Linked DNA regions of Astyanax mexicanus. The protein of the gene in region 1 purifies or fractionates together with the protein of each later gene. This does not show direct contact. Links are inferred from orthologs where the notes say so. Each region holds a gene or a part of one and is shown in the gene's direction. Other genes may lie near its edges.

Evidence for each region.
Region 2: the proteins of cpsf1 (region 1) and sympk fractionate together in Homo sapiens (co-fractionation; 5 studies listed by BioGRID and IntAct, with this or other methods). This does not show direct contact. The link is inferred for Astyanax mexicanus from reciprocal best matches to the Homo sapiens genes CPSF1 and SYMPK.
Region 3: the proteins of cpsf1 (region 1) and fip1l1b fractionate together in Homo sapiens (co-fractionation; 8 studies listed by BioGRID and IntAct, with this or other methods). This does not show direct contact. The link is inferred for Astyanax mexicanus from reciprocal best matches to the Homo sapiens genes CPSF1 and FIP1L1.

What each region holds. Positions count from the first base shown.
Region 1 is NC_064410.1:32,869,668-32,880,208, reverse strand, and holds the start of cpsf1 (cleavage and polyadenylation specificity factor subunit 1), read left to right. Parts: upstream 1-5,298; 5' UTR 5,299-5,400; intron 5,401-5,484; exon of another isoform or gene 5,485-5,631; intron 5,632-6,644; 5' UTR 6,645-6,666; coding exon 6,667-6,810; intron 6,811-8,027; coding exon 8,028-8,189; intron 8,190-10,541. Other genes in the region: uncharacterized protein parp10, read left to right, coding at 2,521-2,816. UniProt on the Homo sapiens protein: Component of the cleavage and polyadenylation specificity factor (CPSF) complex that plays a key role in pre-mRNA 3'-end formation, recognizing the AAUAAA signal sequence and interacting with poly(A) polymerase and other factors to bring about cleavage and poly(A) addition.
Region 2 is NC_064408.1:29,755,175-29,765,962, forward strand, and holds the start of sympk (symplekin), read left to right. Parts: upstream 1-6,452; 5' UTR 6,453-6,609; intron 6,610-7,529; 5' UTR 7,530-7,537; coding exon 7,538-7,612; intron 7,613-8,068; coding exon 8,069-8,134; intron 8,135-8,225; coding exon 8,226-8,279; intron 8,280-8,373; coding exon 8,374-8,447; intron 8,448-8,812; coding exon 8,813-8,939; intron 8,940-9,074; coding exon 9,075-9,324; intron 9,325-9,561; coding exon 9,562-9,732; intron 9,733-9,817; coding exon 9,818-10,057; intron 10,058-10,436; coding exon 10,437-10,588; intron 10,589-10,674; coding exon 10,675-10,788. Other genes in the region: hnrnpul1l (heterogeneous nuclear ribonucleoprotein U-like protein 1), read left to right, coding at 1-14, 771-1,070, 1,496-1,668, 1,751-1,993, 2,248-2,376. UniProt on the Homo sapiens protein: Scaffold protein that functions as a component of a multimolecular complex involved in histone mRNA 3'-end processing. Specific component of the tight junction (TJ) plaque, but might not be an exclusively junctional component. May have a house-keeping rule.
Region 3 is NC_064432.1:5,938,426-5,949,738, reverse strand, and holds the start of fip1l1b (pre-mRNA 3'-end-processing factor FIP1), read left to right. Parts: upstream 1-6,977; 5' UTR 6,978-7,166; coding exon 7,167-7,251; intron 7,252-8,578; coding exon 8,579-8,642; intron 8,643-9,343; coding exon 9,344-9,404; intron 9,405-9,582; coding exon 9,583-9,689; intron 9,690-9,921; coding exon 9,922-9,986; intron 9,987-11,313. Other genes in the region: tspan5b (tetraspanin-5), read right to left, coding at 145-192, 1,495-1,620, 2,477-2,647, 3,979-4,125, 4,469-4,519, 5,320-5,400.

The sequences.
Region 1 (10,541 bases):
ACAGGTGCTGGTCAATGAATTAGAATAATTTGAAATAGTGCAATCATGAAATTCTTTGAATGCATTTTTTGTGCAGAAAGCAAATCAGGTGTTCACCGCACCTGTCCTACTCGTTAGACTAATCACAGAACTCGTTACCTGGAAAAAAATTTGCTCAGCTGAGCTTTCCAAAAGGCCCATTTAGGCCATTTAACTGTGACACTGTTGTTTTATTGAATTAGAATAATGGAGAAACCGTTTCATTGAATTAGAATAAATGCTCAAATTTTTGTTTTCTGTGAAGAGTGTTCACTGTGCAGTATAAAGTCAGGGTTGAGTAGAATTTCTAAGTTGTAAAATCAATCATGGGTAAGCAGCGCGACCTCTCAACCGGAATAGTGGCTCAAATTCAAGCTCTTCGCCAACAAGGCTTGACCCAAACTAAAATTGCAGAGCAGCTCGGCATCAGCCAGTCTTCCGTCTGCAAAGCTCTGAAGAAAAACTGCAGCAAGCGCACCAACTGTTCCGGCGTCCGAAAAACTTCTGCTCGCGACAACAAGCAGCTGAGAAAGATCGCAGTCAGCAACCGGTTCAAGTCCACTTCCGAGCTCACCGACTTGTGGAACAAGCAGACCGGCGCTGACGTCTCCAGATCAACCACTTACCGTCGTCTGCGCGAACTCGGCTTCAAATCTCGCGTTCCAGCAGTAAAACCGATGCTGAACAAGAAACAAATGGAGAAACGGCTGAAGTGGGCCAAAGAACATGGCGAGTGGACTGCTGAAGACTGGCAGAAAGTGGTCTTCAGTGACGAATCACGCTTCTGCATCTCCTTCGGTGACCAAGGTCCTCATGTCTGGCGTCGTGGTGGCGAAACCTACAACCACGAGTGCGTGAAAAGATCCGTCAAGTTTCCCCAGAGCGTTATGGTCTGGGGATGCATGTCCGCTCAAGGTGTAGGGAAACTCTGCTTCCTCAAGAAGACTGTCAATGCTGCCGTATATCAAGATGTTCTGGAAACGTTCCTGATTCCGACTGTTGAGGAACAGTTCGGCGAAGAAGACTTCATATTTCAACAGGATCTTGCACCGGCTCATGCGGCAAAGTCGACCAAAGATTGGTTCACTAAAAAACAGCTTGAAGTTTTGGCATGGCCGGCCAACTCGCCTGACCTCAATGTCATTGAAAACCTTTGGGCCATCGTCAAGCGGAAAATTCGCGACAGAAAGCCTACTACGCTGGACCAACTGAAGCAGAACATCGCCACTGCCTGGGAAGCTGTGAGTGCGGAAACTTGCGACAAGCTGGTCAAATCGATGCCGCGGAGACTTCAGGCAGTCATACAAGCCAAGGGGGCAGCCACAAAATACTGAGAAAGTGATGATTGTAATTATAATAAAAATTATTCTAATTCAATGAAACGGTTTCTCCATTATTCTAATTCAATAAAACAACAGTGTCACAGTTAAATGGCCTAAATGGGCCTTTTGGAAAGCTCAGCTGAGCAAATTTTTTTCCAGGTAACGAGTTCTGTGATTAGTCTAACGAGTAGGACAGGTGCGGTGAACACCTGATTTGCTTTCTGCACAAAAAATGCATTCAAAGAATTTCATGATTGCACTATTTCAAATTATTCTAATTCGTTGACCAGCACCTGTATATATATATATATATATATATATATATATATACGTACACATACGTATACACGATTTAATGCAAGACAGACAGACAGACACTTTATTGATCCCCGAGGAGAAATTTTGGAATTACTGCAATAAAGGAAAAAAATCACGAAAGTGCCATTCCAGAAAAACGAGTATCTTTGATTTAAAAATATCTAAAGTCAGGGCTTTTCTAATGTTTTCATTCAGTTACTTCTGTTTAAGAGTGGCATATAAGCAGGACTAACTACAGTATCACATAAATGTGTTTAAACTGTTAATGTAGTATTTTGTAAAACACATTCAGCTTCACCGCTGTTCAGATGTTTAAATCGCGCTACGTTTAACCAGTAGCAACGCAGTTTCCGCCTTCTTTTAACAGATCTGTTAAGGTGATTGGCTGCAGTAAAAAATGATGGACAGCTTGGTCTGTCTGAGGATTGGCTTAATAAAAAGTGATTGACAACAAAAGTGTAGTATCTGATTGGCTGCAGTCGACAATGATTGACACATGCTCCACCCTTTAGCCACGCCCACTTGGGCTCCGGCCTGCAGCATTACATAGATGTTTGAATTGCCCCTTGGGGATAAATAAAGTAATCTGAATCTGAAATCAGTGATGAATTATGTTATTAATTAGAGGAAATTAATTGGTTAATTAAATTAACCAACAGAAATGGCATCTACACAAAGAACTGTAAGTGAGTATGTGTTGATTTAGGCATGTGCTATCTACAGTTAGCATAAGGCTAATTGTTGGTGTTAGCTACATTTAGACTACTAGAAGAAAACATTAGACACCGAACTTGACATTATGCTTCCTTATTACCTTATTCAGTCATTGATACTAACATAAATATATATTTATTTCCCACAGCTACTGTATATGGGCAAGGTGTGTACTTCGCTGTAGAATCTGCTCTGTCTGTGTCGGACACCTACTCCCCACAAAACGCTGACGGACACAAGTTTATATTTGTAGCCAAAGTGCTGACCGGAGACTACACCGTGGGAAGACATGAAATGAAAGCTGCGCCACCGAAGGAGGGTTCTGAAATAGCTGCCCGGTATCACAGTGTGACGGATAAAATAGACTCCCCAACGTTGTTTGTTATCTTTAATGACACACAGGCATTCCCGCAGTACCTTATTACATGCAAGAAGGTTAATTGAAGTCCGATTGGAGCTGAGTAAGTTTCATCTGAGTAAGAATTGTATTTTAACAAGTGTAGTATGATTGGTTAGGTGGTTTAGGATAAAGTACCAGTGTAATTGCCATAAATTCCCATATTCCCACTGATGCCACAGGCTATAATGTTTTGTGGTAATTTCTGTCAAAATATGTTGTTACAACATATTACAACACAACTACCATCACTTAAACAGTAGGAACTACAGGCACTGCAAATTCATATTGGATTAAAGTCACTCCACGATTATTTCTAAGAGACTGCAGATACACACTGCAGATTCATACTTGAATTAAGCCAAACACAGTGATAACTGTCAGAAAATAACATCTGTGTTTTTGTTAGCTGGGATTATACACAAGGCAAATTCATATTGGATTAAAATTGTTTTAAAAATTGTTAGTCAGACTATAATAACTACACATACTTCAAAATTATACTGGATTACAAAAATACCACAGATAAAGCTCCAGTATGTACTTCATGATCTGCCTGTTCTCTACAGATTTAAAATATTAGGTTTAATATTAAGGTCAATCTTACTAAGTATGATTTAACTGTGGTTTCGATGACTGTAGTTTCAAGTCACGTCTTAAAAAGTGGTATAGAGATGCTCTTACTTTACCTATTACTCCTTTATTAAGATTGCTATGCCTGAAATTACAAAGGAAACAGGTCAGTGAACTTTACAGATTAAAGCCTGACATGATCTGCTGTATAAAAAAAAGAGAAGCGCCAAAGATGTTTTTCTCAGTATGAAATAAAAAAAATGCCTTACCGTGACGGTTGAATGTGAGCTTGGCTTGGATGTGGGCTTCTTATTGTCGGGTCTTCTGTCTTCTCTGTGCTTTTAGTAACTTTGTCTTCTGCACTTTTTAACATAAAAGATTAATACAAATACCGTAAATGCATTTATTATTTAGTCTATCTAGTCTAATCAACTGTAGCCAAATTTCTTTCCATAGAAACACATATTTTAATATGCCATTGCTGTATTTAATGTGAATGTAATGAAAGAATGGTAAATAAAAGTCTGTTTACCAGTGTCCAAAAATGTGTGTATGTAAGTGTATAAGAGTACTCATGAACTACAGCCCTTAACTACTCTGTGTAGGCTGCCATTGCTAGTGTGGATTCAGTTACACACTTGGAGGATAATGTGATAAAGACAAGAAATCCTTAATGTCTGTAAGGTGTGAAAAGGACTATTAAACACAATTTAATAGAGCTTGCCTGTATTCCATTGTTGATACATTAGCATCATTTATTGCTTTACATTTTTATAAGTAATTCAAAAGGCACTTATACGTTACCAGCTTGCCCTCAACTCCCCAAACACACTGGTATCAGTATTGTATAACCCCAAATCAGAAAAATGTTTGGGACAGTATGGAAAATGCTTATTAAAAAAGCACAGTGTTTCCTACATTCCCTTTGTCTTTTGAACACAAGATCTTTTATGTTTTGTCTCGTCAACTTTAATTTAAAAATGTAATTTATTAATATACATCAATTTCTGCATTTCAGGCCTGCAACACATTCCGAAAAGTTATGTCAGTAAAGCATGTATCACTTTTTAATGTTGCTTTTTTGTCAAACATTTAAAATATGTTTTGGAGCTGGTGATGAAGTGTTCTGCAGCCATGACAAAGATATGGTCCTGAAGGTCTTAATGTACTTTTCTGCATTAATGCTGCATCACACCACCATACCACTACAGACCTGGCTTTTTGACTTGTTGCTGATAACAGTCTGGATCGTCCTTTTCATCTTTGGTCTGAAATATATGGCATCTATTTCTTCCAAAAAAGATTTGGAATCCCACTGCATCAGTCCCCAGTCCCAGATGCCTTTAGAGCCCAGATAATTTTATGACACTTCTGGACATGGTGAACATAAGGCTTCTCTTTTTTTTTTATTGTTTTATTATTGTCATTGTATTGTGGTGACAAAGGTTTGTCAAAGGTGATTTTATCAGTGTGGTCAAGAAATGAAATAAAAAATAAAGGAAATATAAAGTATTTCACATTAAAATGAATATAGTACCATTACATAACTTCTACATTATAAAAACAAGCAAAAGCTGGTATTCAAAAGGGACAGTCTATAAATAATAAACAAAGATAAACAATTTTCTTAAAGCCAAAGTAATTATAATGTTATATTAAAATGTTAATGTTAAACACTTTGGGATGCACTAGGATCCCTGTTTCAGCTGCATATCTGCCCATTAAAAATGGGAATGCAAATACATTTTATTATATTGTATACTATTCTTTTTAAACAATAAGAGTCCCGAATAAAAACAAGCCCAAATGAAGTAACAAATCTATTTTTAAAATGTAAGAAATGTAAAAAAGTTGTCAAAAAATACTTTAGTAAAGTATGGATTACAAAAATTTCGTAAGGTAATTAAGAGTCAAACCTGGAAAGTGCACTAGAAAGTGCACAAGTGTACACAACGCGCAAATTGGAACAGACCCTTTCTGACTGGAGCCGGGCATTGTGGGAAGTGTAATGAATGACTCGTTGTTGTTGTTAGGCTGCTAGCTGTTTCTGTTCTGCTGGTAATTCCTCTAAAAATGTGATTTTGTTGCAGAGGGGGGGACACAGAGAGGGTTAAAGGTGGAAGCTGTAAGGTGCTGTTGTTCCGAGAGTGAAGGAGCTAAGAGTTACTTGTGTTTTAAACTAATAAAAGTTAGCATTAGCATGTTAGCTAACCTAGCTAGCACCTGGCTAACACGCTAATATGAGCAGAAGCGTGTGGAGCTCTGAGTGAAGAAGTGAAGACAGATGCTGTAGGTTATTTCGTCTGTATAATAAAACACAATTTTTATCTGCAGACGTTTTGTAATAGAGAATGTGTTTGGCGCTTGTAATGGTCGCTAGTTTGAAAGTGAAGCTTAGTTTTACTTTATATTGTTAATCTTCTGCTCCACCTTAAATGTTAATCTCGTTAACGCTGGTTAGTTAGCTAGGCAAATAGTTAATTAACCTTTCTAACGATTGTAGCTACAATGTACAGCTAAACTGCTGTAGCTGTCGTTGTAGTTAGAAATTAAAATCCAATCTCAATAAGACGCTAATTTAAGATTCGCAGTTTTGAGAGATGTTTTGCCGTGAATGTAAACAACACAGTAACCCCCCAAGACCCACTTCTCCTACATCTTAATATACAGACACAAATTTGAGTGTTTTAAGCCTATATCTAGCTGCAATTATTGTAGCTACTTGTTTAAATTAGTTTTAAAATAGGTGCATTGAAACGTATACAGGGTACAAGTGTAAATGATACAAAACATTTTTTCTCTGCAGTAAAATAGGTTGGTCTCATTCTAAAAACTTGGAGGGCTCTGAAATCTCCTACGGGACACTTATAGAAGATGACTGTTTACTTTCTACTCCAATTAATAATTTCAGATCAGTAACAGGAATCAAACCCAAATCCTGCAGGTTTAAAAAAAAAAAAACATAAAAACTGGACAACTGTAATGAAACGAAAGATTTGGAGGACCCGAACTGCTTGATTTGTATTTAGGAAAATACTGTTTTTGAAATTAAGTTAAGGAAAGAGACAATTTTATGACTGTTATTCATTACATTTTTAAAGTTGCAGATTTACTTTTTTTTTTTTTTATAATTTCTATCACAATTACAATTAGAAATTGTAGTAATGTATATTATCAACCTTGAAAGCTTTTTATGTAATGCTTGAATAGAAATCTTCAAGATTAAGGTGTGTAAAATCAGGCAGAAAATTGACAAAAATGCTGGCCTGTGAAAGGGTTAATATGTGCGGGCTGCTCTTCAGGTGCTGAGCTGGGGGCTGCAGGATGTATGCTGTGTACCGGCAGGCCCACCAGCCTACCGGGCTGGAGTTCTCCGTCTACTGCAACTTTATATCCAGCGAAGAGAAGAACCTGGTAGTGGCTGGAACGTCTCAGCTCTACGTCTACAGGATTATTCATGACTTTGAAGTAAGTTGTACAACTCTTTTGTTTCTCAGATTAAGGTTGAGCCTAGTTCTGGACTATCTACAGCATTTTAACTGGAGAGTCTGTGTCGTACAGGACCAGGTTTCCTGTACAGGGATAAAAATTGGTCCTGGACTATACAGCATTTAGAGAGGAGAGACTGATTTAAAAGAAGAGTGTTGCACAGGAGAAGGTTTCCTGGACAGGGATAAAGCCTGGTTGTAGACTTTGTTCTTTGTTTTAAAAGAAAGTCTCTATTTATCATGCTGTGAAGTCCAAGACTGTGGTTAACTCCTGTTTGGTGCTGTAACTATCATCAGGAGATTGCTGGTTTGAATCCCGGTCACGCAGCTTGCCATTATCTGCTGGCCTTGCTCTCTCTGGGTGGGTAGATGGTGCTCTTTCCCTGAGCTGACTCCTCAGAGTTTGCTGTGATGCTACTTGGTAATGCTAAATCAGTAGCAGTTTAAAAAGAAGTGGTGGGTGACTTCACATGTATTGGATGAGTTATGTGCTAGTCTTCACCTTCCTTTGTTGAGGGATCACTTGCGATGGGGGATATAGAGCTGAGTTGCATTGGGATGGTTGGGACAATTGGCCTTGAGAAAATGGGGAAAACAAAAAGATTTTCAGCTCATTCATGATGCATTGCTGATACAGACATGGAAATACACACATACATCATCCTCATCATCATTGTTTTGTGCCTGCACAGAAGTACAGTATGTAGAAAATAAAAAAGGACTCTGCAGCAGATAAACATGAGCTTGTTGGCACCATGCTTAATGCCAGGTATGGATTAGAGGGGGTACATTGTCTATTCAGAATTAAGATGGGAGCAGTGAACCTGTGTTGTCTGGAATGATGGCAAGTTGGGGATAAATTGTGTGCATGGGATTAAGGTGAGGTGATGATGCTGACCTTCCCAACGCTCTTGATGCTGAATGCAACCTTATTCACGTTCAGTAGCTCTTCCATTTCCACTTGAACAGCGGACCATCCATAAGAGAGAAAATTACCCCAGGACCCCCTGAGAAACTAATCTGGTCCGGATAGGGTTATAGTCATTGTAACTGTAAACCCATATACAGCTACTTATTAGTTTGGGTACATATTGTGTCATTATATTATATCTGTAAAGCTGCCTTGCAGTATAGCTTTATACACTGAACTTTACACTGTGTATGAACTTATTTTAATATTTTTACTATTCGTTTCAGAATCCGGCAAAAGCAGAAAAACTATCAGATGGGAAGAGCCGTAAGGAGAAGCTGGAGCAGGTGGCGTCCTTCTCTCTTTTTGGAAATGTAATGTCTATGGCCAGCGTTCAGCTTGTAGGGAACAACAGAGATGCTTTGCTCCTGAGCTTCAAAGATGCCAAGGTAAAATTAGATCTGTTGTGGTAGAGTAAGTTTTTTTTTTAAATCTAGCACTGCAGAAACAACACATGTTGCACTGTAAGGTTTAGCTGTATCAGTTGTAGTTGATAGAAAAGGACCAGTGATATATATATTATATATATATATATATATATATATATATATATATATATATATATATATATACACACTGCTCAAACAAAAATAAAGGGAACACTCAAATAACACAATATAACTCCAAGTCAATCAAACTTCTGTGAAATTAAACTGTCCACTTAGGAAGCAACACTGATTGACAATCAATTTCACCTGCTGTTGTGCAAATGGAATAAACAGGTGGAAATTATTGGCAATTAGCAAGACACACTCAATAAAGGAGTGGTTCTGCAGGTGGGGACCACAGACCACTTCTCAGAACCTATGCTGTCTGGCTGATGTTTTGGTCAGTTTTGAATGTTGGTGGTTCTTTCACACTCGTGGTAGCATGAGACGGACTCTACAACCCACACAAGTGGCTCAGGTAGTGCAGCTCATCCAGGATGGCACATCAATGCGAGCTGTGGCAAGAAGGTTTGCTGTGTCTGTCAGCGTAGTGTCCAGAGGCTGGAGGCACTACCAGGGGACAGGCCAGTACACCAGGAGACGTGGAGGAGGCCGTAGGAGGGCAACAACCGAGCAGCAGGACCGCTACCTCCGCCTTTGTGCAAGAAGGAACAGGAGGAGCACTGCCAGAGCCCTGCAAAATGACCTCCAGCAGGCCACAAATGTGCATGTGTCTGCACAAACGGTTAGAAACCGACTCCATGAGGATGGTATGAGGGCCCGACGTCCAGTGTTGGGAAGGTTACTTTTAAAATGTAATCCCTTACAGATTACTGATTACATCACTCAAAATGTAATTGGTAACGTAATCAGTTACATTACTTCAAGTGAGTAACGTAATCTGATTACTTTGGATTACTTACAATATTGTGGTTTTTTTAAGCCTCAATGAATGTAGCAACCACATATTGCATATTATTCTTTTATTTTTCTTTCCAGTTAACAAATAGATAAACAAATAAAAAAGCCTTTTCAATCACTCTATAAAAATACTTATGAAACCATTTCATCAAACAATTTTATGAAACACTTCTATAAATTGATAATAAAACAATTTAAAACCAAACAATGTAACAACAACTGTAAGCTATCTACTTGCAGGTTTGCCACCAGTGTTAATTTTGACAACAAATTTTGATTTAGTCTTAGTTATAGTCTTGTGACGAAAATAGCATTTAGTTTTGGTCACAATTTAGTAATTTAGTCAACTTAGTTTTAGTCGACTTAATGCCATAAGAATATAGTCTACTAAAATTACAGTAAATTTAGTCGACTAAAATGTAAAGGGTGTAAATGTAAATGCTTTTTCATCAGTTCCCTTGAATTATTAACTCTACACGTATACGAAATGAAACGTTTAATAACCACTTGAGTAATATTGTTAATGTTTGAATGTGAAATATATTTATATATGATTTAATGTATATTATTATTATAGGTGTGTGACTATATATATTTTACATTTAAAATTTTGCTCTAGAAATCAGGTCATAAAACAACTGAATAGTTAAATTATAGTTTAAACAGATCTGTAGATGCAAAAACAGCTTTTAAATGATCTAGTTTTATCTCCAGCACTAACCCAGCACACCTACTGTAGCTACAGTCTATAAATGAGATCAAAAAACACACCTTCACACACTGTCCTGTAGAGATGCTCTCAGGATGTACTGAGAGACTTCATGAGTTAAAGTAAGAAACTTATGAGAAAGTGCTGTAAGGAACTTTACACAGACTTTTAGGTTCATAGATTCACTTATTTTATTGTTTTATTTTGGATATATTATTGAGTTCCTTTCTGACCTGTTCCTTTAACACTAGCTATATCTTTCCCACTGTGAGACTAAGCAGATGATCTGATCTTAATGAGTTAGGGTTCTGTATCAGTTCTGTGTTTTAGTGCACTGCCGAGTTAAACACATCAGCTCATGAAATAACATCAGCATTAAAACGCGGATCTCTGCATGGAGATCTGTGGGACTCTGGTCTGCAGAAGCTGAAAGATTAGTGGTGTTTTTACCGGAGATGGAGTCGCTCCACGCGGTTTACACGTTATCTTGTTTTTCGCGACGTCAAAGGAGAAATATATCGCCTCTCCCCTCTCTCTCTCTCTCTCTCTCTCCCTGCTGAACACTGTCGAGTTAACTTCCAATCGAGCTCCGTAAGGACAGGTTAATTCCCGGGTTTGTAACTGAGCGCGCGGCGCTACTGCAGGAGAGGCGGGTACTGATTGGATGAGTACCCCGCTTATCC
Region 2 (10,788 bases), on another chromosome or scaffold:
TTTAGAAATGAAAGGTAGGAATGCCACAGATAAACAAAAAACAATGCTTCAACTACACACCCAGATCTGCTTTTGCTATGTTTTTGTTTTTTGGATTTTTTTTGTTTTTGTTGTTTTCCCCACAAACTTGGAGATCCCCACCTACCCTCTTTTGTTTTGCCAGATAAAAGAGCTCCTCTCCTTTTTCTTGTTCTTTATCGTCATTCTGTTCTCTTCCCCTGTAACTCAATTTCCTCCAACGTTACATTTTCTGTACCACAGCAAACTTGGAAAACAACATGAAATAATAGATTGGCTTACACAAATTAGCAACTTTTTTATTCACTATCAATTTGGATTTATTTAAGTTTAACGTTTTATTTTTTGTCCAGTTTATCAACTGTATAAGGCAACTGTACGTCCTAATTGATTTGCGGGCACAATCTCCCTTAATCTCTTATAACACTTTTTTTCTGGCAACTGTCTTTTGTTGAATTTTCTTTTTATATTTACCTTTCATCGTTTACCCTTATTCTGGGACAAGTTTTGCCTTAATCAACTAAGGCAATAGTTGTCCGAGGTCCCTCTGAGTCTCCCACCACATCATCTTTTCTCTTTCTGTCTAACTTTCTCTCTTTCACTGTCTCTTTTTCTTAACTACTTTATCTGCTCAGTCTAATGTTTCTTTTGACCACCACTGTTATGATGCTAATAATTCTTTGTTTCTTGGCTGTGCGGCTGTTCTCTCCCTCACTGCGTGCCCTCTGCCCCCCTCCCCATCCTACCTGTAGCCAACTTTGTGCTGCCTGAGGCTGGAGACTTTCTGGATGAGGTGATTTACGTCGAGATGCAGCGTGAAGAGGCAGAACCACTCATCAAACAGTACAACGAGGAGGGGCGCAAGGCCGGCCCCCCGCCCGAAAAGCGTTTCGACAACCGCCAGGGTGGATTCCGTGGCCGCGGAGGAGGTGGCGGTGGTGGGGGTGGTGGTGGTTTCCAGCGCTATGACAACCATGGCGGACCTCAGGGAAACCGAGGCGGTTACCAAAACCGTGGCGGACCTGGAGGAGGAGGTGGTGGCTTCCGTGGAGGTATTAGGCTTTCAAACTATATGATCTGATAATGTCTCCTTACGTAGACTGGTCACGGTTTTATACTAACTTTTTATTGTTAGGTTAAATAAAACAGTTTATTGATAAACATAAACATTTGCTTAAATAACTGAGAATAACTGATAATTGAGAATATGTCAGCATGTATCGGCCAAATCTTGGCATGGGCCGGATTCCAGTGATTCTAAAAAAAAAAAATAGTAATAATAATCTGCCGATATAATTCCGATATCATTTTGCATCCCACAATTATGCTCTAGGTTTTATTCCAAAGCATTTTACAAAGCAAAGCTTCCTTTTCTCACTCTCCTATTTATTGTGCTGGTGCTGCCTAGTGATTTGAATATGCTCTTTTATGTTTCAGTCGGATAAATGGTGTATGTGTTCCTTTGTGCTTTCTGTAGGTTACAACCGTGGTGGATACAACCAGAATCGCTGGGGAAGCAACTACAGAGATTCAGGTGGCCGAGGAGGCTACAATCGCAATCAGCAACAGGGAGGCAGCTACAACCACAATCGCCAGGGCTCCTACAACAAAGGTAGCTCTGGAGCCAGCAGCAGCTACAGTCAGTCCCAGGTAACTTGTTAATTTGTGGTGAATAGTTCAGGAAAGTAATGGATTGTGGTTTATGTTGTAATAACTAAATTGTTTTGTATAGCCTCAAAGCTACAATCAAGGTTACAACCAAGGCAGCTACAGCCAAGGTTACAACTACGGAAACTATAGCCAATACCCAGGATACAGCCAGGGCTACAGCCAGCCACCTGCTACCACGAGCCAGTCATACAACCAGCAGCAGCAGCAGCAGCAGCAACAGCAGCAACAACAACAACAACAACAACAACAACAACAACAACAACAGCAGCAGCAGCAGCAGAGCTACAACCAGCAGTATCAGCAGGTAAGCTACTTCAGCACTACAGATGTTTGGGGAAAGGATATGGTGTGATGAAACCTGCAGTGACACACCTTTAAAAAAATAACTGGACAGTAGCATCATAGTTCTTTGTGGTACCTTAAATAAATATCATCTTGGGGTCTCTCAAACATAGTGTCAGGAAACGTATCTAGTACTTATTTAGAAATAGTTTTGATAATAGTGTTTGTTTGACCTGTGATCTTGATTGATCTTTTTTTTCATTGTTGTGTTTGCAGTATGCTCAGCAATGGCAGCAATATTACCAGAGCCAGAGCCAGTGGAACCAGTACTACAACCAGTACGGAAACTACGGCAGCTATGGCAACCAGCAGAACACGCAAGGCTCCCAGGGCACACAGCAGTAGTACCTGCATCGACCGTGACCCTCCAAGCTCATTCCGTCAACATCATTCCTCTGCCTATCTTTTTATAGTCTCCGTCTTATCTTACCCTCACATAGTCTTCCTTCTCCCTTACGCCACTCCCCTTTAAAAGCTTTGTATGTTTTTTGTTTGCTTCTGTTACTTTTTACCCTATTTGCTCAGCCTTAAATGTAACTGCATTTCCTTGCGCTCCATTAATGCATTTTAGTTCTGGTGGCAGTAGCCAGTTTTGCTCTTGAAGTGTTATGTTAACTCAGAGTTTAGTTCAGATATTTATAAACGGCAAGCAGGCAAATTTATATGAGTAGCGACATGTGATGTAGTTTGTTCCAGATACTGCACGCACAAATGTGCTTGAACGCTTTGTGGTTGATTACGTGTAGTGGGGGCGCAGGATTTTACATCTGATCAGTTTTGACAGTTTTGTATGTAGAAACTTGTTTCTCTGCTCTTTTTATTCATCTTTTAAGAACCATATTTTCCCTCATTGGTTTAAGAAAGCAATCTTGTGTAGATAAATACTAAGTGAACATTTTAACAGCATAATTCTTTCTAACGCTTTAATTGAAATCATGTACCTGTGGAGTTTGTCAAATCCTTTTATATACCATTCTTAATGTCTCAACTGGCTGGCTTCATGTCTTCTCATGTTTAGTGAGCATTAGTTGCTCCTTGTGTGGTTGTAAAAGTTTTTATACCTTGTACCATGTTTGTAAAACAATATTTGCATGTGGTTTTGTGTCAGATCAAAACTCACTTTTTTGTATTGGAGAATATAATCTAAGGAAATGACTTGATTTGTTGTTTTGTAGTTTTCTTTTATTCAAAGTGATTGTAGATCATTTGTTCTTGAAAGCAGCTTTCAGTCAGACCAAACATTTAAGTGACTGAAGTTACTACATCCATATGTGCAACCAATAGTAATTATTTAAACTACTGATATATTTTTGATGAGCACTATAGATTTTATCGGTACAAAACGTGTCCAGTAACAGCATGTAAAGGTGAAAAAAATGAATAGGATATTGCTAAAATATCCCATCTTGGACAGTACCTACGGCTATTATTAAACCTAAAGTAATTAATGTTAGCTAATTTAACCAAATCTCTTAAAAAATGAACTGAAATTGTGTTAAAAAATTTTCGTTCTAAATGGTTTGTATCAGAAATGTGTACTTTTACGGCAAACGATTGCAAAAGTGCATTTCTGTTTATAGTGGTTATCTGACCTGCCTGTGAAAATAGATTAATGGATGAGTGTAAAATGATAAAAGAATTTGTGCACAAGTATATTAATAAATAGTGTAAATACACATGGTCAAAATCAATATAATAAAACCTTTGTGTCTTCAGCATAACTGTTTCAGATTTATAGGCTATAACAATATATTTTTCAAGATTTACTCTGAAAGAACACGTTATTACAAATATAGAGGAATGTTAAGCTTTAGTTTAAAGTACTTTTTTTTTATTTCAAGCGGTTTTCTTTAATGCGAAAATGTTCTTTAGTGCGCAGATTTTTGCAATGTCTGCAGAGTTCCCTGTTTTCTATGTATCATATTGTGTGTATAATTAGCTGAGGTAAAGCTTTAGCTGTCCACCCTGTCCTTCTAAAATATCCAGGTAATGGACCAAGGTCACCATGAACAGTTTCCAAATGTATGCAAACCTAGGTCATTCGTGTTTTCATTAAATGCCAATTTTTGCCAAAACTGTTTACCCTGTCGTGCATCTTAAGTGAACAAATGTGCTTGCCATTGGAAAAAAAATAATTATTTCGGAAAAATTTGATTTCTGTACCCATATGTAAAATGTGTGTATTGCAGTAGAATACAGAAAATTGTCCAGTGAAAAATATCATTCTCCATTTGTGTAGCTACTATATAAACTATTTAAATAATTCTGAATAAAAAGAGTGAAATCTTCCATTTTAAAACATTTGCTAAATTTCAATTTTGGATATATGCTGGATATATGCTAGGTGTTTTAGTGGACATGGCTTTTGTAATTGTTTGTAATTGTAAAAACATCAAATTAAAGGAATATAATGCCCATATACTGGCTACAAGTGTAGATGAAACAAACATACAAAGCCCCTAAGGTGACATCATGTTAAAAAAAAATAATGCATGGCCATGATTTAAGGTGTGGGAATGAAATCCTAAGGCATGGCTTAAAAATGCATTGGAACAAGATAATTAAGTTGTAGCCAGAGAATAATAAAGCTTGCTTTTCTGTAAATTAAAACCCATGAAAAAGATTTATTACATATAAGCTCCAAAACAAGGAAAATTTGTAAGAAAATGGAGAGTTAATAGGTTTCTTTTTTATTTTCATCTTGAAATTAATGATGGCGATATTTTGGAGTCTCCTGCAGTGAGACAAGACTTAATCTAAGTAAAAGACTCTTAATTTTCAGACTTAAAGCTAACGGGCTCAGACGCAGACAGTATACAGACCCGTTTACCTTCATTATGCAGTCATGTTCCAGATCTTCCTTCCACTACCAGATCAGGAGAATCTCTCGCTATTTTTAAGAAACTCCTGAAGACAGAGATCTTCAAAGAGCACTTACTCTCCTAACACCTCTAACAAACTAACTTCTTCTAACCTCACTCCCTTCTTCCCCTCCTTCACTCCTCTATCCTACTATTTCTCTTTGACCTCCTTTAGGCCCTATCTAAAGATGCTTTTACCATTAACATCTATTACTTTTTGTACTTCACTATTGTAAGTCGCTTTGGACAAAAGCGTCTGCCAAATGTAATGTAATGTAATGTTGTGCACAACCCTTGAGAGCTGCTTGCTTTGTTTGCTGTGAAACAAAAAAGCTTATGACCACACCTCAATGTCTACGATTTAATTAACTTGTTCCCACGCCCTAATATGTCGTGGCCATGCCTTAATCATCTCATTCCCACGCCTTAATAAGTTGTGGCCATGTCTTAGGATCACATTCCCATGCCTTGTTTATCTCGTTCCCAAGCCTTAATTATCTCATTCCCTCACCTTAAGTTGTGGCCACGATGAAAGAACTCACTCCCACTCCTTAATAAGCTTGGCCACGCCTTGGGATCTCATTCCCACGCATTTTTTGTTATGATGTCACCTTGGAGGTTCTGTACGAAACTCTTTCTCTGCAGTAAAATAAGTTCTTTACATTCTGAAAACTTTCAGGGTTTTTGAGGACCATGGAGAAGCAGCCTTTCCACTCTCTACTACAATAAATAGATAACTCCAAATTAGTAAAAGGAATCTATGGAGCCCCTAAGGTGACAAAATATATAATAATGTGTGACTATGACTTATTAAACTGTGGGAATGAGATCCTAAGCCGTGGCCACAACTTATTAAGACGTGGAAATTAGATAATTAAGGCGTGTCCACAAGGTCCTCTTGTTTCACAGAAGCAAGCAGCTCTTGTGCACTATATGACTGCCTAAGAAAGGTTAACGGGTCTGTTTGCGTCTGAACCCATCAGCGTTTAGTATGACAATTAATTGTCTTTTACTTAGAATTGTTCCATGTTTCACTCCAGGAGACTCCAAAATCTTATCATAATTCATTCCAAGATGAAAATAAAAAGAAACCAGTACACTCAATTTTCTTACAAAAGATTGTCTTTGAATTGGAGCTTTGATGTAATATTTTTTCATGGGCATTAATTTACAGAAAAGCAAACTTTATTATTCTCTGGCTCTGACTTATTTATCTTGTTCCCTCGCCTTAATAAGTTGTGGCCACTATTTTTTTTTTTAACAGGATGTCACCTTAGGGGCTCCGTAGGAATTCCCAAATTTTCCATTTTTGAAAATAGACATAAAAACTAGATAACCGTAACGAAATGTTTGGAGGACATGGAATGTTTTATTTTGGTTCAGGAAAGTTTGAATTTTAAAATGAGGTTTAGTTCAGTTTCATGATTTTTATTAATTATACTTTGACAGCTGCAGATTTAATTCAAAATAAACATGAAACCCTTATATTTAATGTCTGAAGAGAAATATCAGGATCCGCAATATCAGGCTGATTTATTATTATTTTTATAATAATAAATGGGCTGTGAAGTTTAGACGGAAGTGTATGTGTGTTGTGAGAGTCTCCAACAACCGACACTTCCGTTCAGCTCCGACATGGCGCCTGTGGAGTGAATGGAGTGATGGAGATGTGGAGTTTACAGCCGGTCTGAGTGAACAGGAGAGAGATAACACTGCTGTGAGTTACTGTAACGAGACTCTGCTCTTTAACTAACCCCGCGGGCCGGTCTGGTGCTTCTCATTTACTATTAAAACACTATAATACACAACCGGCTCAGAGGCCAGGCTGTAGCTAACGGTAACTATGTTAGCTTAGCTAAGCTAGCTTTAGCTAGTCAACTAGCTGATTAGAATTCTCCCAACAGTCAAGACTCAATATTCAAAGAGAGTTTACGGTCATGTGAACAGTAAAGGAACAGGGTTCCTTCTACAATTAAATTCTTTATGTGGAAAAAAAAGTCTCACACAGAACTTTAGCTACTTGCTAAGCTAGCTAGGTTAGCTAACTAGCTCCTCATACAGTGAATGGAGAAAGTGACTTGTGTTTATGTAGTGTGGACCTGAGTGTTATCAGAGTAAAAGCCCAGTTGGTAGTGTAGCTCTGTAACGAAAAAAGCTCGTAGTTAGTTAGTAGTTGTAAATGTAGACTGCAGGTCTCACACAGAATCCAAACCCACAGTAAAATAAATCTCAAGTGTGTTTTGTTTAATTTGTAGTAAAGTGGAGTCGATCAGTGCTTCTTCAACATTTGTGGCACTGTGACTCCCCCAACCCCAGCCAGGGATTTTTAAATTTAAAATAAAGATAAATGGACATGCCTAAAAATCGTATATAGACAGGTCCATTGCAACAGGACAGGCAAATCAATCAATTGCCTTTTTAGTATCTCTTTCAAATGGGGCCCCTTCTAATTGTTACAAAACATTTTTTCAAAAACTATTGGCCATGATGATCAAAACTAGTCATCGCCGAATAACATTAACTTCCTTTTCATAAAATTACCCTGATCACAAGGTTCAATGTGTTATTCCCCAGCAGAAAGAAATAATGGAATTGCATGGAAGTCTGATTATTTTTTGAAATTTTGCTGTTGTTTAGCAGACAGAATGGCGTCAGGCTCTGGAGAAAGGCACTTTACTGGATCGGAGGAAGCAGCCATCGATATGACCACCAGTGAAAAGGTAATATAAGGGATCCTTTGTGGCTTGGCCGATCACTTATGCAGTTCAAGTTCTGTAGTCCATAACGCTTCACAGTGTCTTACGTTTCTGGTTCTAATACTCCTAATTCAACTTAGGGAGTGCTTACTTACAAAACTGTTGGTCAGCAGTGGCTTAGACTACATCATGCATGGCTCTTGCAGTCCAGGAGGATTCTAAAGGTTTAAAGAATTACCTACTCAGTCACACAATATAAGGCTGTGACCAGTTTTAGAATGGTTGCTAGAGCAGAGGAAATATCACACTGAGCGAGACTGTGGCTTGTCAGAAATAAAAAAAAAATCATATATATGTATATATATATATATATATATATATATATATATATATATATATATATATATATATATATAGCTTTTGAATGTGCATCACAATGAAATGTTTTAACTGTTCCTCACAACTGACTGTGCATCATAGGTAGTGGACCTTTTGAACCAGGCTGCTTTTATGTCCACTGATGATAAACTTACTGCACTTAAGCAGGTAAACATATTTCTATAGCATTGTGTGCCATTTTTACACAATCAGATGTTTGAATTGCATGCTTACTGTAAATATTTGTTTTGATTATTAGGTGCAGGAGTTGATTATTAACAAAGATCCATCATTACTTGATAATTTCCTGGATGTAAGTAAAATCACTTTTAGTGTTCTATAAAAGCTTCTAAAAAGAAATCCTTAAGGCATAAACTAAAATGTCATCTCTCTCATTTCATCTGCAGGAGATGATTGCGTTTCAGACAGACAAGTCAATTGAAGTGCGGAAATTTGTTATTGGCTTCATCGAGGAGGCGTGGTGAGTTCTATTTTTGTTTTGTTTGTTTACGTGATGTTCTTATTGCATTTCTTAATACTCATCTGCATTATTTGGTCATGTTGGTTGGCAGTGCCAAATATACAACTGCTCTACTATATACAGTAACAATGTATGAAAAGGTGTGTCAATATATATGTGTTGTATAGTGTAGTATTAATAATGTATGTGTGTAAGTTTACTTTACTCAGTCTACTTTATCGTACACATAGAGATTTTTGAGCTTTGAGTTAGTGCTTCATGTGACATGTGTGTATAAAGCGATGCTGTTTAATTTACATAACAAAGAAACTCTTTGGTGTTAATAGCCGAGAACCAGGTAATGTCGTTTACTTGTGCTGTTTCAGTAAACGGGATAATGAGCTGTTGCTGAAGCTGATTGCGAATCTGAACATGCTGCTGAAGGATGAGAGTGTGAATGTTGTGAAGAAGGCCATCCTCACACTCACTCATCTTTACAAAGTGTCTCTACAGGTATTTTTCCTGCTTTACTGCTTTACTTTTTTATGTTGTCATTCAGTACCTTGTAATGACTGACATTTAGAGCCAAAGCCTTTTGCAGCATTTCTCTTACTGATATCTGACTGTTTTGGTTTGTCTTTCTGCCAGTGGTTGGTGCAGTCAAAGAGTGTATCTGAAATGCAAGAGGCATGCTGGAATATGGTGACCCAGATGAAGGAAGAGGTTCTGGCTCTGCTAGATTCAGACAATGACGGCGTTCGCACCCATGCCATCAAATTTACTGAATCCCTCATAATCGCCCTATCACCACGGAAACCAGACTCAGATGTACCCAAGAAGCAAGAGGGGGACATCAGCCTTGACAAAATTCCAAAAGATCACTCGTACATTCGCTATGGTGGGTCAAATCTATGACAAAGTTGTGTTTAATGAGATTTTTAAAAATATTATTTTATGCTTTTACACAATAAATTATTTAACCAAAGTACAAAATCTAGTTTCAAACTATATATGGCAAACAGTTTTTGTGTTTATTTTTCTCCCATCATTTGGCAGCTTTCATGTCCATAAATCCAGGTTTAATAATTTTTTTTTGTTTCTTGTTTTGTTTCGTATTTAATCCCTCTCACTTTAGATGTTCTTTGTGAAGAGGGGAAGTCTGCTTTAGAGCAGCTCCTCAAGTTCATGGTGCACCCAGCCATTTCCAGCATTAATCTCACCACAGCTTTGGGATCACTGGCCACGCTGGCCCGGCAAAGGCCCATGTTCATGTCAGAGGTTGTACAAGCCTATGAGACTCTTCATGGTGAGTGGAAATCTTATAGTGATTGTGGTGATTGTTAGGATTCTACTCAGACAGCCCTGACCGCCTGACTTTTTTTCTTTTATAGCCAACCTGCCCCCAACTCTGGCCAAGAGTCAAGTGAGCAGTGTGCGAAAGAACCTCAAACTGCACCTAGTGTCTGTGTTGCGGCACCCTAGCAGTGTGGACTTCCACAGCCAGATCTCCACGCTGCTGCAGGACCTTGGTATGGCTCAGAGTGAAATCGCACGCTGTGTACCTGCTGCTGCGCAACCTCGCAAGAGATCCCGCCATGAGCCCTACAGTGAGGGCAAGAGGATCAAGATTGGTGAGTAGACAGGTTTTCTGTATCTTTTTGTGTAGATGTTAATAAACAGCTGGTTTATTCTCTGAAAGAGATGGTGACATTTACTGTAGTTAAAACCAAGACATATTTAAAAAAATGCTGAAAAGTTGCATTTTGTTTTTATTTTGTACTTGAGCATTAAGGCTACCAAATTACAAAGTTGGTTTAGATCATGTTATGCAGTCAATGGGCAATTCTACTGATATGGTAATGAGTTGTTTAGATGTACAGAAAAATCATTTAATTTAAAATAGCGAATTGTGTTTCATTGCCTCATCAGATGTCAGATAATTATTAGAAGTACAGTCTCTGAGTGGTTGTCAGTTTGAATAACATTAGGATTTTTCTGCCCGTCTCCTAGAACCCGCGCTGATTGAGGATGATGAGGATAAGGAAGAGCCAGCCCCTGTTGTTGCCCCCAAGCCTTCAACCACCACAGGCACTCAGTCTGCCATAGACCTCACTGCTGACTTCATACGGCCTCTGCTAACACCGGAAAATGTGGCCAACCTGGTATACACTGCTTAAACAATGTGTCTAAAGATTTATAATCCAATAATTATATTTATTTATTGATTAACATACTTCTTCTGTTGCAGGTACTCATTAGTATGGTTTACCTACCAGAAGTCATGCCAGCCTCCTTTCAGGCTACCTATACACCTGTGGAGTCAGCAGGCACAGATGCCCAGATTAAACATTTGGCCAGGCTC
Region 3 (11,313 bases), on another chromosome or scaffold:
GAAAACGAATACACTGTAGTTGTCAGAGTTAGATTATTACATATATCTGTGCTAATTAGCTAATAATAATGATCTATGAGATTGTATTTAAGTGAGCTTGTCAAGCTAACTTAACAAAAGCAGGACTATGAAGTGTGCACTCACAGCTTTAGCTCGAATGTCGTAACCACACTGAGTATTGATCACATCCTCCTGCAAAAAGTGAAAGCGAGAGAGAGAAAGAAAGAGAGAGAGAGAGAGAGAAGACACGTTAATCTGAAAAATCAATGTGATTTTTTAAATTTTTTTTTATTTAACAGCACAGCACATTTGCAGTAAAGCTAGGCGATATGGTATAAAATATTATTTAAATATTTAAATAAAGACATTTTTAAGGTACACAATATTTATATAATGTGTGGACATCGACAAATGTTTTGTGTTTGATGTAAATCAAAGCAGCTTTACACTATATAACTACACGCGTGGGTATGGAACACAGGACTGTCTTGCTCTATTTACTTTCTTGTCTCAGATCTGCTCAAATGGTTTGTTGGTATGCATTTTGGGGCCTTCAGGTTTGTGCCTGTGTGAAAACAAACCAAAACGAGGGGGAAAATGCTTCAATTTAACAAACTAATTAACTGATTTGCACCAGAGAAACAAAGGTGTGACAGATGTGAAAACCAACAAATATTCCTTAATGCACTGTACAGTGATTTCTTTTTATTTTTGCGTTTTGGCAGCACATCATTAAATTTTACAGGATTTTTTTACACTGTAATAAAATGTGCAGTAGGGTCAGTGTTCTTTAAGCAGTGATGATATCCTTGATATACCTAATAATATATAATAAATAATATGTATGATTGTCCTCCTCTAATTTGCAGTATAACTCATGGCTGCCGAGGGTTAATATTTGGAAAAATATTTTGATAAACCAGAGAAAGATGTTTTTCCTGTGTACTGGCAATTCTCACAGACTACAGGGCGGATTGCAAACTCCCTTTCCATGCAGGCGTGTCACACAGCTGTATAAGCGCAATGCAGCTACGAGTAACAAAATGATTAAATATATATAATATTACATTGGATTAAATAAATCGTTTTTAAATATGTTTTCATTTGGAGTAAAGAAATATGTTGTGATGAGGTTCAATTCATAATGTAATTTGCGAATACCGGATGAAACACAAGCCAACGAGGGAAGTAGCAGCATTTGTTTGCACTGGTTATGTATTTATTTAAGTTTATATAAGTGTTTGAGTTGAGTTTGTTACAGTGAGGAAGTTGTGGGAAGTTGCTGCACTAGGCTGGGAAATCCTGAAAACTCCCTGTTTATGTTCTCATGGCTTCTGGAAGAAGGAGCGACATTCTGAGCTGGTGACGTAATCATGGGTTCTGTGTGTGTGTGTGTGTGTGTGTGTGTGTGTGTGAGAGTGAGTGAGAGAGAGAGAGAAAGAGAGAGAGAGAGACAGAGAGAGAGTGTGTGAGTCAGAGTGTCTAAGTACTCACAGCAGGGTCCTTTGTACAGCAGGAAAACGGTACTCCACATTTCTCCCGGCTCAGGTTGGTATCGGTGCAGTTAAAGTAGATGTTCAGATTCCAGTCCTCTGGCCCAAATGCTCCACAGCACTCCCACTGTGCATGCAAGAGATGTTTTACGATTTATTTCTAATTTTCTCCCATTTTTTCTCCTCAATTTAGCTAGACCAACTGTCCCACCCATTCCGCTGCTAGTCAGCTGCATATCCCCCATCACTAGTGATGCCACAACACAAGGAGGATACATGTAAAATCAGACACACCATTGCTGAGTAGCATCACAGCTCTAACACTCTGAGGAAAGCGCAGCGACTCGGTTCCGATACATCAGCTCACAGATGCAGCCTTGTGCTGATCGACATCACCCTGTACATCTACTGTACCCACCCAGAGAGAGAGAGAGAGCGAGGCCAATTGTGTTCTCTCAGGGCTCCGGCAGCTGATGGCAAGCCGCATGACCAGGATTCGAACAACAATCTCCCAATCATAGTGGCAGCGCTTAGCCTCATGTAAGAATACAGCATGTATGTCGTAAATTTGAGAAGAAAAAAAAATATATATATTGACTTTCTCTTAAGAATTACAAAGACATAAGAGTTCCTTCTCCTATCAACTTGCTGCTTTGGAGATATGAGGTTTTGTATCATCGATTGGGATGATTGACAGTATTTATATGTAATAGCAGTGCAATGTAATCCCATGTAATCCCATTATAATTAGTAATATTTTTTTTCTTTTAGCAGCTCTTCATTAATTTTACCACTTTTTTTAGCATTGCATAAATAACAAAACTAAATGTATTTCCTTCTGATTTCTCCACTAAACATAATTTGTATAGTAAAAACTATTTGGTACATTTATTTTGCCATTTTTGGCCGAACAAATTTGATTGGTGAATGTTCTGTGCATCCCTAATAACAAAAATATGCCCCATGAATAAGCATATTCTTACGTATTCCTGTGTAAAATCTATGAGGTTCTGCAGGTCGATGTCATCTCTGTAGGCTCTGATGTTGTTGTTGATGAAGAACTTGAGCTGGTCCTTGATCCAGTCTTTAAAGACGAAGGCCAGAACTCCAGTGGTCAGCTCCAGGAAAAATATTATCCCCAGGAATACGGAAAACTGGAGGAGGCGAAGAAAAAAATGTTAAGAAAATGAAGGAAAGAATCTGAATAACAGTCATGAAAAGCCAGTAAACCCTATGAAAAACTTTTGCTTAGGTTTGCCATATTTTTCGCACTATAAGGCTCACTTAAATTCCTTTTATTTTCCCAAAAAATCTAATGGACAGTGTGCCTTATAATCCGGTGCACCTTATGTATACATTTTACTATTTAGGTATTAAGGAGCAGTAAAGCACCTCTGCTGAAGTGCAGCGTTATAAGCACAGAGCACATAGTTTCTCAGAGTATAAAGTTTCTCCAGCACTAAGGCTGAGTGCAGCAGCTTTAGCATTAGCCGCTAAACCGCAGTGCTAGCTCTTTCGCAGTTCAGAGGCGAGTATATTGGAGTGTAGTCTGCGTGTTTGCCATGTTAAAACAAGCTATGTGGGACGAACCGGCAGTATTTAAAACCTGCTAGCACTGCGGTTAGCGGCTAACGCTAGTGCCGCTGCACCCAGCCTTAGTGCTGGAGAAGCTTCACTGAAAACTCTCCCTTATACTAATTTTGAAAGTCTAAACTTACTGTTAATAAACGGAAACGCTTTACTCACCCAAATAAACAGCTTTAAGGAAAGAAATCTGTATAGATTAACATCCAGCACTCGTTTGACTTCAAACGAAAAGTCTTTTTTTTTTTTTTTTATAAAAATTACAGTTTTGTTCACTTTGGCGTTTCCCCCAGTTTCAACATTCGAAGAAGGATTTTGGAGTAGTCTGTCCAGATTAATAGGTGATCCGAAATAATATTTAAATTGGACAGACTCCTCCAAAATCCTCTCTAACGAATACAATGGTATTGCGATATGCAGGTTCATTATTGATATGATCAATATGTGGCATCAAATACCGATATTTGTATTGAAACATAGGCCCTTTAAACTTCCTAAGACTAGTCCGCTAGTTTGACTTAGTAAAGTCAAACTACATATTACTCCATGTGGTGGCGCTAAGATCAAACGAATAGTCTAAACCTGCAGTAAGGAATATTGGTTGCTAAATTTTATGAAACCGACACCAAAAGATGTTGTGAAATATCATAGAGAATTGTCTTTAAATATACTGAGAATCACAGTATTGTGAAATCTTCGTTATCGTGGAAAATATACCGTGATAATATTGCATTGTTCACCCCTAAACCAGGATAAAAAAGATAAGTAAAATATTCTCCAACAGTCCTAAAATTGATTGTTTATTATGTCCAGGGGTCTGCCTATTTGTTCTCTGGCAAATGTCCTGAAATTCTACATTTGTATTGTCCACTGTACACAAAAACACAGGAAACAGACTCACAAACTTGAGCAGGAAGGAGTTTTCCCGCAGCGCTCCGATGCAGCCGGCGAACCCCAACACAAACATCACCCCTCCAACCACCAGAAACAGCCAGACAGGGTCGAACCCTCCCAGATCAGTGATGGAGGAGATGTTCGAGAGAACTCCCTGAGAGAAAGAGAGAAAAAGAGAGCGAGAGAGAGAACGAGTGAGGTGAGAGAGTCATTTTGTCTCATTTTCTGCCCAATATTGAAAGCCAATTAACCCTCTCCTCACTCATATGAACTGCCCTCTGCAGACAACTTTTAAGGAGATGTGGTTTTCATTTTCCAGCAGGACTTGGCACACTGCCAAAAATAACAATTGGTCTTATTGTTATTGGATTTTTGGGTTTTCATTGACTGTAAGCCATAATCATCAACAATAAAATAAATAAACGCTTAAAATAGATCACTCTGTGTGTAATACTGTGTGTCTATGTGTGTGTGTGTGTCTGTGTGTGTGTGTGTACCTTTTCGCTCCATGCCCATAAAGCCACGGACAAGAACGCCACCCCCAGCAGCTGAGGAGAGATTCAGCATCAGTTATAATGAGTGAACAAACACATTGCAAATGATTTATTTTATATATATATATATATATATATATATATATATATATATATATATATATATATATATAAAATAGTTAACTACATATACTACATATTTGAAGTATATAAATATATATATTTATATACTTCAAATATGTACAGTAACATGCATATATGATAAATTATAAAGAATATTATCATAATAATAATGATAATAATAATAACGTTGCAAAATAGCGCTAATCTAAGCTAATAAAAAATAAATCATGTTGTTATTATAATTAGTCACCAATACAAATAACAGTTATTACTGCTATTATTACACTGAAAAAAATGTTAATAATTGTATTAATATTTACACTGTGCAAAGGACATATTAACTTTGTAGAAATGTTTTAAGTCAGCCAATTTTATATTTGCTCATTTTTTTGTCTGATATTAAAGTTTGTTTGATAATCTGAAAAAAAAAAATTGGTATGTAAAAAAAATCTGTAGGGGGCAAAGATTTAAAACTGCATTTTAAACATGGCATTTTAACATATCTGAGTTTGTTTCAGTAAAGACAGAGTTAGAGATTGTCTGGTTTGTGAATTTTGTAAGTATTTGTGTGATTTTAAGCTAAAACCAGATCCAGATCCTCATTCTGACTGAAGCCCTGGACCCGATGAACCCGGGAGCTCTGCGAGCTCTGGAGCTGAGGGACCGGGCTGACAGACTGACAGTGCGCGCGGGGGGGGGGGAGACAGTAACACCGCGCGCCGCTCTCTCACCCAGAAGATGATGTTGAACCCGAAGATGAAGTATTTAATGCAGCACCCGACCTCGTGCACGTTAAAGTGCTTCCCGGACATCTTTACCGCGCGCTGCGTCTCTCCGAGAGATCCGCTGGAGCCGAGCCGCCGCTCCGTCGCCGCTCCGTCGCCGCTCCTCCGCTCACCCACCGCCTCCTGTCCGCCGCTCACCCGCTGCTCAGCGCCGCCACCATCGCGCCGGATTAAAGTCTGCGCCTCTAAACGCCCCGCAGGCGCTATTTAACAAAATAAACCCTCCGAGAAACGAAATACACCCGTGTCTAGAGACACGAGCTCAACCCAGCTCAACACCACAACAACGGAGCGGCGCTCCCTACCACAACCACTTAGCGACAGATCAGATCACTTCCGCCCAGCTCCATTCCTTAAATAAACTTATTTCAAAATAAAAGTCGAGTACAAGCTCTGGGTTCGCTCTAAGCGAGGATATTTACATCAAATCACATTACAATACATTACAATATAGAAGTGACCCAATTTACAAAAATTAATTTCAGAGAGGTTATCCTCGACCTGGACTTAAATCACCCCCTCCCCTGTCTAAAAAAAAAGAACTCACGCACACACCAAAGGATAACAGAACTTTATAATTTGGCTATTGCTCTGCAAAAAATAAGAGACCGCTTAAAAAATATGAAAATATCTTTGATTTTACCAAATTGAAATCCTCTGGAATATAATCAAGAGGAAGATGGATGATCACAAGCCATCAAACCAAGCTGAACTGCTTGAATTTTTGCACCAGGAGTGGCCTAAAACTATCCAAAAGCAGTGTGTAAGACTGGTGGAGGAGAACATTCCAAGAAGCATAAAAACTGGTGATTAAAAACCAGGGTTATTCCACCAAATATTGATTTCTGAACTCTTAAATCGTTATGAAGATGATGATTATTTTCTTTGCATTATTATTTAAGGTTTGAAAGAACTGAACCTTTTTCATTATTTTGTCCATCTCTTATTTTTTCCGACTTTCATGAGACTTGAGACATCTGTATATTGTATATTTTTGATAACCCCTATTTGACCACAAGGAGAGATTTATAATACATTTGGTTATAATCTTAGGTAAATAAGATACGCACAAATTGAAATTGCCCCAAAATACCTTCATTCCAAGCATTTGTTTATTTGGGTCTATATAGTTATATACATATCGTAAATTTAAATAATTAAAAAATAAAACGAATAAAAAATAAGAAGTCATAAATCCATTGAAGCTTTTAAATTTAGTTTAAATCCCACAATTTTTTATTTTGTTTTTATTTATTTTTTTGTTTTTTATGTTGTTGGATATATGATTCGCAAAATTGGTCTATTACTGTTTCTGTTTAGATTTGTTGGATAGTATTTGGTACAAAAATGATTCGGATAATGTACTCAACAGTTCCCTTAAACGTAATTATGGAGCTTTACAATCAGTCACGGTTTTTAAACCTAATATTTGTGGCTCTGCAGGAATGATAATAGAAAAAAAACATTAGTGCCATTTATTATATTTTTTCACTCCCCAATCTAATATTAATGTAATAAATAGAGGCATGAAAAAAAAACAAAACAAAGAAGCATCGATTGTTTTTAGCAAATGGACTTTTATTATGTCACACAGAGCGGAAGTTGCGTATTCAAAGGGCAGCAGTCTTCCTCCGGTTAGTGTGCGGGGTAAGACGGATCGGTTCCCCCGTTTAATCCGGTTTTGGCCTCCTCCAATCCGGTTTCTGGTCTTCTCTGATCCGGTTCCAGTGTGGTTGAGGTGTTCGGGTGAGGCTGCGCGGTCTGGGCGGTTCGGCGGGTTGAGCAGAGCTGAGATGTCCGCGGAAGAGGCGGAGAAAGCGGCCGGGCAGGAGGTGAGCGCGGCGGCGGGGGACGAGGAGGAGGAATGGCTGTACGGAGGTGAGCTCAATACTGAACACCAACACTGACTACTGAACACTCCAAAACACCCCATAATATTAAAACACTTACTCCTCAACACGCCATAACACTCTCTCCTCAACACTCACTCCTGAACACTCCATAACATTCAAACACTCACTCCATAACATTCAAACACTCACTCCGTAACATTCATTCACACCTCATAAACACTCCCTCCTAACATTCAGCCACACCATCCTCTCACACTCCGTCCTCACTAACACTTATTCACTCCCTAACACTCAGTAACACTCACTCCATAACACTCCAAAAACGTACTCCCCACTAGCACATATTCGCTCCATAACACTCTCTCCCTAATATTCAAACACTCCTTCCTCACTAATACTTATTCACTCCCTAACACTCAGTAACACTTACTCCATAACACTCCAAAGCACTCACTCCTCACTAAAACTTATTCACTCCATAACACTCATTCCTCACTAACACTTATTCACTCCCTAAAACTCAATAACACTCCCTCCAAAGCACTCCCTCCTAAGTAACACTCACTCACTAGCACTCCCTTACTAGCACTCCCTTCTAACATTCAAACACTCACTCATCACACTGGCTGACTCTGCACATACACTCGCTTTGCACGGACACTCACTCTACTCACTAACACTCACTCTGTACGGACACTCTGCAGGAACACTCACTCTACTCACAAACACTCACTCTACTCACAAACACTCACTCTACTCACAAACACTCACTCTACTCACAAACACTCACTCTACTCACAAACACTCACTCTACTCACAAACACTCACTCTACTCACACTCACTCACTCTACTCACAAACACTCACTCTGCACGAACACTTATCCACTCACTTACACTCCCTCCTAACAAACACTCAAACACTCACTCCTCACAGTAGGTGAGAGTGGTAGCCAAATAGTCCTGAATATTCTTGAAGTTTTGTAATATTTAATTAATTTTTACTTTTGTTCCAATGCACATGAATGAAAATAAACATTTTCTGGAAGAAATACTTAATTTCTCTAGAAAGAAAATATATGGATATAAAACAAAACAAATAGACCTTGCTTAAGTATTTACACTAGAACTGTTGTTTTTTTTGTATTTGATCAAATACAGTTGTGTCTCAGTATTGCAAAACTAAACAGAGTTCTGGGTTCTGGGTTAATTATGACTTCTAGACGTTATTCTACAGAAATATTACTGTATATTGTAATTTAAGTTAGTTTGCATTTATACCTTCTTAAAAGCATAAAATCATGTTATATATAAAAATGTACTGTTTAATATTGACTTGTTGGTGTTTATCCAGATGAAGGAGAAACCAAAGAAAATGAGGAGGAGGAGGTGGCGGCCAAACTGACCGCAGCAATCAGGTATTATACATACATTAGATCTGTTCACACTGTAACTGGTCTAGTTTGATTCTGTTCACATTGAAACTGGTCTAGTTTGATTCTGGTTACACTATAACTGTTGTAGTTTGTACTTGGTGGATCTGGAGTAGTTTGATTTGTATCAATGATAGTAGTGCTGGGCGGTATACCGGTCAATTAAAACGCGTACCAGAAATTAAAACCGGTATGGATTTTTTTATGTACCGCCAGACCGCTAGAGAATCGCTGTGTAGAGCAGCACCACCACCAAAGAAGCAGATACAGCTAGCTACCTAACGCTAGCCAGTTAGGACAACAACTTAACACACTTGAGTAATAGTAGCTCCGTCCTGCCCAGAGAAAAATGAGAACAGCACTTTATCTAAGGAGCACCTGCTGCTGTTTCTCACTGTATGGGTGTTTAATCTGAGTAAAATTAAAAAACTACAGCAAATATTCACTATTAATACTGTAATGCCTCTAATGGCTTCAAGAATAACACATAGTACATTGATATTAAATTTGTGTTTTACTTGTGCAATAGAGCTTTTGAGAAATATCTCTTTGATTACTTACATTTTGAGCATTTTAAGACCATTTAAAGAGTTTATGAAAATTTAAAGCATTATTCTTCTATATTATATGTACTCCTAATTTCTGCTTATACCGCCCAGCACTAAATGATCATCTACTTTTTACAGTGCTCCACCTGCCGCTCCTGTTACTGAGGAAGTCCCTGCCGGCAATGGAGTGGCTAGTCAGGTAAGAGTACATTTAAGTTATTATAATAAACTTAGGGACTGAGTTACCACTCATACAATTACAGTATTTAGAATAGAGTCATAGCTATACGATTGATGCGGTTGCCATGTCATACATGTAGTAGTCAGTTTTGTGTAGGTACTGGTGTGTAAATGATCAGTTCTGTGGCTTTTTTTAGGAGGAAGCTCCTGGAGACGATGAGGATAGTGAAAGTGACAGTGATGATGACGACGATGACGTCCGTGTTACCATCGGTGACATCAAGACAGGCGCACCGCAGTACACGTGAGTATGATGTGTTCTGTGTTACTGTAGAGAACCTGTCATCTGGGAGAAGACCAACATACTCCATTGTATGGAGTTGGACAGGTGCATCTAAAAAAAAAAATAATTTAATTGAAAAGTTACTTTTTCAGTTATTGCAGTAATTTCATTATGTTTTTTGCTCTTTTGATTGGATGTTTTTGTAGTAATGCTGTAATAAGTGCTGTATTTAAAGCTGTGGTGTCTTTTTCAGGACATACGGGGCAACACCGGTCAATCTGAACATAAAGTCTGGTGGCAGCAGGCCGTATGGAGCAGGTACAATCTGTAAATTAATAAGTCATGCTAACAAGCCACAACTCATGAGACAGGATGTTTGGACTGCTAGAGTCACTTGTTTTATGCACAGACAATTCTGGTTAGATGGCAATCGTCATTACCACCCACTGTGCTGTCGTCCACTGTGGGTGGTAGTGTCTTGTAGAATAGATTGACAATACACATGACACTCTGAGTCATGATTGAACAATGATAAAAGCCTTCACAACTTCAGAAATGGAATATACCACTATTGGCACCCACTATCAAGCCTCACTACAACTCCTTTTATTCATGTTGCCTTGCCATGAGCATGCTGGCCAGTGTATAACGTCACTCACAAGATAAAAACTCACATTTTCTAGAGGTGTGGCTGTTTACAAGTCATCCCCTGAGATAACACTTCTGAAAAATTGTCGTCTGCAGATTGCTTGATTTAGCTAATTCGCATTCTGGACTATATAGTAGCAATATACACTGATTTTGAGAACACTGAACTGTACGCAATATAAGGCAATATAATCAAAAGTGCGAAAAGTTTTGAAATTTATTACTCAGGTAGGTGGATATATACTAGTATTTTAAATGCTACTGTAGAATCTGAAGTATCTACTCAAAAGTAAAAATAATGTATGGTGAAAGAATGCTATTTAGGGCAAAAGGTTAGGCAACGCCATAGGACCTATGGTCCACTACAACCCCCCCTCGCCAACACATTTTACTAAAAGCCATAATGACTATAAAGTTATATTTAAATTCTAAGCTAAGTAAACTAAACTGTTCGTCTTAAAAATATATATTTTAAAGTCAAACAAGCCCCGGATGTTAATCTGTACAAATTTCTCTCCTGAATACTTCCATTTGTTTACAGTGAGCTTAGATTTCCAGATTTCCACTAAGGCTGGGTGCAGCAGCATTAACATCCAACCGCTAGCTCTGATGGATCGTATAAACCAATAGGGTGTCAAAATAATATCTAATTCAAGTCTAATTCACTCTGTCAGGATAGAGAAAGTTATCTGAATAGGGGTTTTATTGAACAAGGAGAATCCAGAATAAAAACAAGCTAAATGGGATTAACGATGCTATTTTTAAAATGTAAGGAGTAGGATGTTAAGTTAATCGAGTGAAAATGTATAGAAAGTAGTATAAAAAATGTGTGAAAAATAAACACTCCAGTAAAGTATAGACGGACAACATTTTCTACTTAAGTAAGCTGACTAAACGTTTTTTGTACTTAATTAATTGCTATCTCTTGGCACAGTTATCAGTGTATGTAATATAAACAAACCTTAAATCAGGTGTTTTAGATCGGACATTTTTTTTT